3 linked regions of the Solanum lycopersicum genome follow. The protein of the gene in region 2 interacts with the protein of the main gene of each other region in a pairwise test. Links are inferred from orthologs where the notes say so. Each region holds a gene or a part of one and is shown on either strand. Other genes may lie near its edges.

The links.
Region 1: the proteins of LOB domain-containing protein 15 (region 2) and GSK3 kinase BIN2-like protein interact in binary tests that used the Arabidopsis thaliana proteins (3 or more experiments, as listed by UniProt). The link is inferred for Solanum lycopersicum from reciprocal best matches to the Arabidopsis thaliana genes LBD13 and BIN2.
Region 3: the proteins of LOB domain-containing protein 15 (region 2) and ethylene-responsive transcription factor 12 interact in binary tests that used the Arabidopsis thaliana proteins (3 or more experiments, as listed by UniProt). The link is inferred for Solanum lycopersicum from reciprocal best matches to the Arabidopsis thaliana genes LBD13 and ERF12.

What each region holds. Positions count from the first base shown.
Region 1 is NC_090801.1:57,796,288-57,798,775, forward strand, and holds the end of GSK3 kinase BIN2-like protein, read left to right. Parts: intron 1-1,344; coding exon 1,345-1,446; 3' UTR 1,447-1,944; downstream 1,945-2,488. UniProt on the Arabidopsis thaliana protein: Negative regulator in brassinosteroid signal transduction pathway important for plant growth. May be also involved in auxin signaling pathway. Phosphorylates and increases the degradation of BZR1 and BZR2/BES1 by the proteasome.
Region 2 is NC_090805.1:50,645,568-50,649,605, reverse strand, and holds LOB domain-containing protein 15, read left to right. Parts: upstream 1-1,419; 5' UTR 1,420-1,538; coding exon 1,539-1,552; intron 1,553-1,928; coding exon 1,929-2,202; intron 2,203-2,699; coding exon 2,700-3,110; 3' UTR 3,111-3,384; downstream 3,385-4,038.
Region 3 is NC_090801.1:58,883,697-58,886,538, reverse strand, and holds ethylene-responsive transcription factor 12, read left to right. Parts: upstream 1-1,355; 5' UTR 1,356-1,605; coding exon 1,606-2,070; 3' UTR 2,071-2,299; downstream 2,300-2,842.

The sequences.
Region 1 (2,488 bases), on a different chromosome or scaffold from region 2:
ATGAATGCGAGCACATTCTTTTTCTAGAGCATGGATGCGTTATGCAATGAATTATCTTTATACAGGGCCTCATGTTTAAAGTTGGTGTTTTGGAATGGCAAGCTTGATGAGGGTAATGCAATCTAGCATGTCATAAGTTTATGCTTCTTAGAGATATTGCCGGCCACTGGTGTTGATACGACACGATGACATACTCATTCTGGATTTGGCAAAAAATAATGGTTCCCTGACTAAGGAAGGCATAATTGAGAGTACAACGAAGATGGAGATTGAGACAGAAAACAGAAGTAGAAAAGGGAGAAGAAACAAAAAGCCAGAAACTCACAGGCATCCTTATGTCTGATGATTGATAAAAGGATCTGCAGCCATTCGTCGAACTCAAAGAAGAGGGGGTCCATTGGTCATCAGAGTATTTCTGTTTCTTTTTTTGTTAGTAGCTGGGGTGGATTAGGCTTCTAAGAAATGGACTGAACCAATGCTTAATTGACCAAGAATAAGTTGGGCTACTATAACGTTAAGGTTTATACAACATAACAATACCACTGGATTTAATGGATTAATGGTGGTCCTTCTGTATTGTTCTTTGAAACAAGCCTTTGAGGTTCTTGTGATTTTATTAGAAAGTTATGTTAGAGGTTGGGTGAAAATCATTCTAGCTAAGAAGTTCTGATGATTAAATTAGTGTCAATAATGAGAACAAGTGGACTAGTCTAGTGGTGAGAAACATCTCTGGTGGACTGTGTCAGTATATTTATTGGGGTGGATTGACTCTGAGGTGTTTGAGATTACACCTTGACTACAGGAATGCCCTTTTTTCCAATACCATGATGTCAGATAACAGGATCTAACTAAGTGAGGTGCGTATATTGTTAAAGAAGCTATGCACTGTCACTGAGTCTTGATGAAAGAAGGCCCTTTCATCCTAGTTCCATATCTACTGAAAAGAGGGCCAGGGAGAAGCCTGAAGAGTTGAACTCCCTCGAAAAATAGTATCTTTGTAAGTTGCTGGGGCCTGGTTGAAAGACGCGATAATATGTATCTGTAAAGGATAACCTCATTATTCAGTTATCTTCATTCTTATTGGTTACGAAGGAGATATTAGTCACAACAGCATTTTAGTTACAAGGACGCGGAAAATTGTTAAAGCATGCATTTTTACGAAAAGCACAACTTAACTATGCATATCTTTGGCAGGAATTGCCATCTTCAATTGTCCATTAGAATTTAGAAGCATGTCAAGGCCATTAATATTGAAAAACTGTATTGCTATGAAGTTACGCATTCTGTACTTGCCTTTCTTGACTTAACTCTATTGCTTATCCCCCTAATTTTTCCTGGTTTCAGTTATCTGGTGCCTCTCCGGACCTCGTAAACAGGTTGATACCAGACCATATAAAAAGACAGATGGGCCTGCATCTTTTTGCATCCCACGGCGACATGACGTGAAGTATATGTTTAGTGAAGTATACTAGTTTATGATCTATATATGAAGGGATCCAAGTGACACCCCTTCCAGAGCAGAGGAGTCCAGCATGACAGCGACAGTATATCCTGGTCGAAAAGGACAATGTAATGGGGCTGCAGTGCATTTTAGTTCTGTACTTTGTATTATCTTTTTTGTTCCACTCTTCAAAGTCTTCCCATCTTAGTAGCCAACTAGTGAAAAGGAAATATGTTTTTGTACATGTTTGTTAGTAGTAAATTGACCAGAAAGCTTCCGGGGACACGTTTGAATATGTATGGACAAGTTGCAAGGCTCCAAAAGGATTGCCAGGACTTGAAAGGGCAGTATTTTTTTTTCCCGTAAGTTTATATCTCACTTCAGTTTGTATTTAGCAGTCTACTTTGAAAAGAGTTGCGAGCAAATTTGTGTTACAGTTGCTCTATGTGATTATGATCAATCAAACGTATCTATTTTGTTGCATCTTGTCATTTAAACCTTAATTCTTGATGCTTTCTACTCTTCATTTCATGACAAACTTATAGTGATATTATTCTTTACTATTTATTGTTTTTTGACTGAGTGTGTCGAGTTTACAGTGGACAACTATTAGTAGATAAGAGGAAGTATCTTATTTTTCTATACAATATACCTACTTACAATATTATTATGAAATTAAAGAAAATAAGCTATAAATACAATAGTCAAATATCATAGTTAAGCACAAACGATATAAAAGGGTTTGTATGGGTCTGTATAGTCGTAAAAGAATCAAAAAATGATATTCGTGTGGTTCATTTTGTAAGGGTCAAACTAACCCCACAATAAACACCTATAGCGAGCACTAGAAAACTTATATGTAATGATTGTTGAGCAAGATCTACTAGATGCAACAAATTAGTTGAGCTTTAATGTAATGAGAAATAAATTATTGTTAAAACAATAAAGGATCATATTTGTCCTTGTACTCTTAGAAAAGAGTTATATTTACCCTTAGTTATACTTTTTTGATATGTTTGCTCTTACCATCTACTCTGGTCACATATT
Region 2 (4,038 bases):
AATAAATTACCCTTATGCATTAATTAAACTCTACTTATGTAATTGGTGAAGGTTAATTATTGATGAGTAAATAATTGGTGTAAACAAGAGGGCGATTTTATAGGCTAAAAATACGGGTCAAACTAAACTTAGATCTATGCATTTTCCTTCCATTTAAAGCAAGCCATTCATTCAATCTCTTTTCCTAAAATAATTACTATATCTATTTTTATCCTCCCAATGCTTTTCCATGTTCCCACACCTTAATTTGTATAAATATCATATCATATTTTATAATAATGTTTTCTTTGAAATAGATTTTGTATGAGGAAAATTAAGCGACTATCATAAAAGTCTTTTAGAGTATATTATATAGCTATAATATTGATTATTTTTAATATGTGACTATAATTTTGTGAATTTTTGCTATTTGATTCTGATGTATAAATTCAGAATTTGTATAATTCGATTCCTAATCGTATAAAATCAGAATATGTATATATTTATTCTAGTTGTTTGTCTACGGTTTATAAAAAAAATCATAGTAAATAATCGTGTTTCTATATTGGCTAGTGAGATATACAAACAGACAAGTGAAATATACAAACCACAGCCTCCATATAAAGCAAATGGAACTATAGTTATGAAGCACAACTACTGAAACTATAGTATAAAACCTTAACATGTTTATTATATTTGTTATTTCTTAATATACTCCCATATATTATGTTAGATTATAAAATATATTTTTTTATAATTATATTTTGTTTCGTAGCTGAAAGTTATCCGAAATGATGTATTTACAAGTTGAATCATATATTGGCAACCATTTACTAGTATTGTTTTCCAATTTTTTCACACGGATAATTAAGATGAAAATGTTTTAAGTATAGAATTATTTCTAATTATGTAAATCTGATATTATATATATATATATATATAGTGTTATTGTCTTAGCTTTTAAGTGTTTGAAATAAGAATCCAAGACGACATGTAAATATTTTCAACGGGTAAACGAGTTTGGTTATTGACGGTGACACTAAATAGCAAGAAATTGGACTTTTCTTCGTTGCTTTCCCATTTATTTTTCCATCATTATTTATTTTGGAGGTGTGATTTTAAATTATTTTTTTATTTTTTAAAAGCTCGATTAATACATTAAATTAAAAATAAGAATATTTCAATCGCTTGATAAAATTTTTATACATTAATAAAATATATATCATTTAATAATAACTGATTTTGATTGTGTATATATTTTTTTATAGGGTACTATACAAAATTTCAACTATTTTTTTTTTTTAGTAAACATAAGTTTGGTAGTGATGAAAAGTCAATAGATGCAATTAGTCACACGTGAGCAAGCTTTGACTCAGCTGGCAATCAATAATATTTTTTTAGTTTCTTGTGAAAGTACATTTAATTATTTCTTCTAATTAATTAACCTTTGTCTTGCCTTTTTAAGAATCCCCTTTCTCATTTTCCCTCTCCCTTTGAAAACTCAATTATCTTCATCTTAATTTCAATTTATCTTCCATTAACCTCAAGTCATATCTAGAATGTCAAGAGAAAGGTACGTAACACTAATTAATTTACATCTTCAAATCATTATAATCTAATCGTTGTTGTTAAATTCCTTTTAAGAATTATAGATTAATTAGGTCAAATGCACAAAGGCGCGGAGCTAGGGTCTCAAGGAGTTCATTCGCCAAAAAAAATAATTATATCGTATAATTTTCTATTGTGTTCAATTACTACTTCATAACTTGATTTTCCTTATTGAAAATTCTTATTCGATCGCATGGGAGTTAGTTCATTAGCTTAGGTCAAAACCCTACATATTTAATGAGAATTTCAACAAATACATATTAGAACCAACAAAATGAAACTTCAAATTCTGAATCTGGTTCTGGTCGATTTTATATTTGACTTTTTGTTGTGATGAATAGGGAGAGATTAGATGAGATGGGAAAGAAGTTAAAGACAGAGATAGATATTTCACAGCTACAAATGCAACAACAAATGGGAAGAAGACACGTGTTGGGACCTGTTGGGGGAGGAACAACATTGAACAATGTTACACCTTGTGCTGCTTGTAAACTTTTAAGAAGAAGATGTGCTGAGGAATGCCCTTTTTCTCCATATTTTTCCCCACATGAACCTCACAAATTTGCTGCTGTTCATAAAGTATTTGGGGCAAGCAATGTCTCCAAATTGCTAATGGTATATATCTACAACTTGTATTTGAGGTTAACTTTTATGCATCAACAGTACTATACTATCAGATCGCTTGAATGATACTAATGTCTTGGGATAAATCGTGGCTAAAAGGGGTTGATCATATCCTTTCGCAGGAAAATCACACTATATATATGTATATATTATAGATGAAATCATCCTTCCATCATTGACTATGTTTCTATGATCAAAGACGGATCTAGGACTTGAAACTAATTAGCAATAAGTTATAACATCTTTTCTATTAAAAAATATATATTTGTTGACATCATATGTTTTAAATTTTAATATTTGTTGAAATTTTAGTGATGTATATAAATGTGTGAGGTATGTTCCAAGATCAAAATGTTTAGGTTATTTTGAACCCCCTCCATTTTTTCCCATGAACTATAATTGGCTAAAGTATGTTAATACTTATATATTTTTTTATAAATTAGAATGTAACGTTTATCTTGTTGTGACTTTCTTTTTTTTTTAATTAGGAGGTGCCAGTGGGACAAAGGGCAGATGCAGCAAATAGTTTGGTATATGAAGCAAATGTGAGGCTAAGAGATCCAGTGTATGGATGCATGGGTGCAATTTCAACTCTACAACAACAAATTCAAAATTTACAAGTTGAGCTTAATACAATTAGGGCTGAAATATTGAGATACAAATATAGAGAAGCTGCTAATAGTCTTATTGCTTCTATTTCCACCTCTGTGCCACCTGAGCTACCACAAGCTCCTCCTACTCCGCCACCACCACCACCACCACCCTCCGTGGTGGTGGTTTCGTCATCATCTTCTTCTGCATCATCAACTTCTTCTAATTTATACACACCGGCCTCGTCTAGTGTGGCAAACTTTAGTGCCATTACTAATAATAACATATCGTATTTTGATCAGCAATAGTCATATGTCACATAAAATGAAACAGATCAAACTATTGAAGGAAAGATATTTGGAGGATTTTCAGTTCACTTTTTTTTTTTAATTTTCAAACTTGTCATTGCCAAGAGGATTTTATTATATATACATACTATATTGTATCTCCAATTATGATAATTACAGCTAGCTAGAGAGATATTTGATGATGATTAATTGTCTTTTTAATTTTCATTGATTTTGTAATGCTCAATTTGTGCTTTTCAATTTGTATCTGGAAGAGATTTTTCTTTTATTTTTAGACATGCATGCATAGCCTTTTTTTTTAATTAAAAAATAAAATAACTTGAGGTAAATTATTAATTCTCATCTCGAATTCAAATTCTGATAGATGACGTCAAAAAATTTCTTTTACTAGTTCATGTATATTATATCGATACTTTATACCATATCGTGTAACGTTATATATTCTATTCTCTTTAAATTTTATTTACATGATTACACTTAATATGTTGTTCTTATTGTTATTAATGTAATTGTAATCTTAAAAAAAATAGATAATGTTCTACTATAACTAATAAAATTGCATTTTTTGAGTAAAAAAACTTTACCCTTAAAATATAATATAACTAATTAAAACCCCTCAAATTGTACCAGACTTAATTAGGTCTTCTCTATTCTTAGACTTAACAAATTAACTACTTTATTTGTTGTTGCTAATTTTAAATATGATTTTTGCAAATATCGAGAGATTCCTTAAGCCAACTGAAAATCATTTTTGATGTCAAGACAAATTAGTGACCATTAATAAACTATATAGGCTGCAAAATTAATTAGACCCCTATTACTATAGCTTATAACGTTAATAAGGTTTTTCATGTTGGAATCATCTTTTGAGTTAAGTGTCAAAAACACATTTAATTTTTTATTTTTTTTTGAGTTTCATACTTAAATT
Region 3 (2,842 bases), on a different chromosome or scaffold from region 2:
TGTATTTTGACTTTAGGCTATTTCTTAATCTTTATCAATACTAAGAAAGAGATTTTTTAGAAACGTGGGTGGAAATGAAAGATTAATTGAATCCACCATAATTAGAACAAACTTGCAAATTCTTCAAACGACTTCACTAGTGACTTAAAAACCAAAAATAAAATTAAAAAATATTTATTAATTTAAATTATCATATTTTTAATTAAAAGATTTATTTTGTAAATAAGAAAAGTTATATTTTATATAGACATAATACATAAACATGAATCTTAACTTGACTCGGTTGAAAACTATGACATTTAATTTTGGGTGTGCACAAGTAAACACTTAAATTTATATAAAATTAAGCAAATGAACACATTTGTTCTACATAATACTTTACATGGCAATTTATTGTCCTACATGACGTTCTAGATGTATTGTGCCATGTAAACATTTGTATCTACTTATTTTATTTTATACAAATTTAAATATCTATTTGTGCATATTCAACGTTGAAGGACATAAGTATTTACTAAAATCAAATTAAATAATTATGTTTATGTAATATGATTTTATATTATAAATCATAGTCTTAAATACAATATCTTTGTAAATTTTCCTTAAAAGTTGTCACCTGCCTTTGTGAAAAATCAGGAGTGTATATCTTATCAAAGAAATACTACTACTTCATCGAAGTTTGTAGCTTCTCATGGAAGCAATTTAGAAACAAGAGAGAAAGAAAATTTTCTCTTTTTAGGACCGACTTACCATTACCAAAAGTCTATATTTATCATTCCATCTATAGCATGACTATAGAATTTGTAAAATATAAGATATATAATTGTTTATTTGCAAAATAATTTATTGAAATCGCATATGTTTAACTATTACTTCACCTATTTTTAGTTTGATATGTCAAAACAATGGCGTATACCATGCTACCTAGTTTTTTTCTCTTTCGAAATAATACCCCTACTATATATGATTTTTCTTATTTATTTAAGTTTTGCTAAGTAAAATTAATTTTTATTCGCCCCTAAATTTGTAACTTACTACAACAATTAATGCTAATGATTTAACATATGTATTAGTATGAGTAAAGACCCTACTATCCTTCAAAATTCTTTTTATAGCTTTTTAGTATAATAGTGCAGAATATTTTTATAAATAAATATTTTTTGTATTATACATGTTATTTTTAATAGATCAAATCAAACGCATAAGAAAAAAATCTCTCTTTATATATAATTAATATAGACATTATTACTATATTTTATTTAACATTATTTTTATGTAACTTACTAACCGATTCTCCAAAAATAAGTATTAAAATACAGTACCATGAAATGATAAAAGTATTCGTTCATTTTTTAAGAGCCTGTTTATAATTTCGGAACATTTTCCTTCCGACCAAACACATGTTCACCTAAATATTTTGCCTATTTTAGGAGAGAGGTCGTGCCGTCCAACCGACGATTACGGGTGTCTGCGTGGGTCCCTTTTTTATTTTTACTACTGCTGCCCAAATATACTCTTTTTTAGCTCCCAAAACCCCACACAAACACAACACTCATACACTTTCTCTCTCTAAATCCCCCCCTCTCTCTCTCCTCCCCCATTTCCATGGCTTCCACTCGTGAGGGTCACTACAGAGGAGTGAGAAAGCGTCCCTGGGGCCGTTACGCCGCAGAGATTCGCGACCCGTGGAAGAAAACACGTGTCTGGTTAGGCACTTTCGACACTCCAGAAGAAGCGGCACTCGCTTACGACGGCGCCGCCCGTTCACTCCGCGGCGCTAAAGCAAAAACAAACTTCCCCCCTCCTCCGCCGCCGCCGCCGCAGCCTTCTTCCGCTCCTCTTACACTCGATCTCAACCTTCCATCTGATCACCGGTGGACTTCCCCCTCCGGACGTAGGCTCATGATTGGAGAGTTTCTACAAGTAGGTCCGCCGCCGGAACTTAACTTGCCGGTCACCGTCGCTGCGCCGGCGAAGGAAAACGATGTTGGAGCTGCAGCTATGTATTTTGGGATTGTGAGACGTGGGTTGCCTATTGACTTGAACGAACCGCCGCCGTTGTGGATGTGAGGAGGCGGCGGCGGATAATTAATGACTTAGTAAAATTACGTTTTTTGTTTTTTTTTTTTCATTTTTGTCATTCTCTCTATTTTCAAGCTTTTGGGAGAAAGGTAATTTCTATGAAGAAAAGTAGAAAAAAAAGAAGAAAATATATTAATGTTATTATTAGGAGGAAGCACATCATTATGTAAATACCCTTTTTATTTAAATATTAATCCAAATTCTCCATATTTTTGTACCACGCTCATCATAAAACTGAAGTACTTTGTCTGTACTTTTTAGTCTAATTTTTTTTTAAAAAAAACATTTTATACAGTAAATTAATGTATACGTCCAAAACGTACATTTGCGCAACAATTGTGTTCCTATATATATATTATTCAAATTTTTTTTGTGTGAATATAAATCGAGATGAATTTTCATAAATTATTAAATTTTGTAAATTATTTACTAACATTCACGATCCATTCTAGATTCGCACCTGTGCGATATGATTGCACGTGTGAAAATATACGTACATGTTTGACATATTAAATTAACTTTATTTGTTTGTTGTTCAATTGAGATGTGGTAGATTTTTGAGACATGATATTTAATTTCACCTTTTCAGGTGGCGCATGAAAGAGCATTACAATTAATTAGGCCAGTTATGTATAGAAAAAGGGTAAACGCAGAAAGTGACTTATTATTATTATTATTATAATAATAACTAACTTAGGTTGAAAAATCTTACATAGTATCAAAGGATTGTCCCTAAATAGTACAAATTTACTCAGCAAAA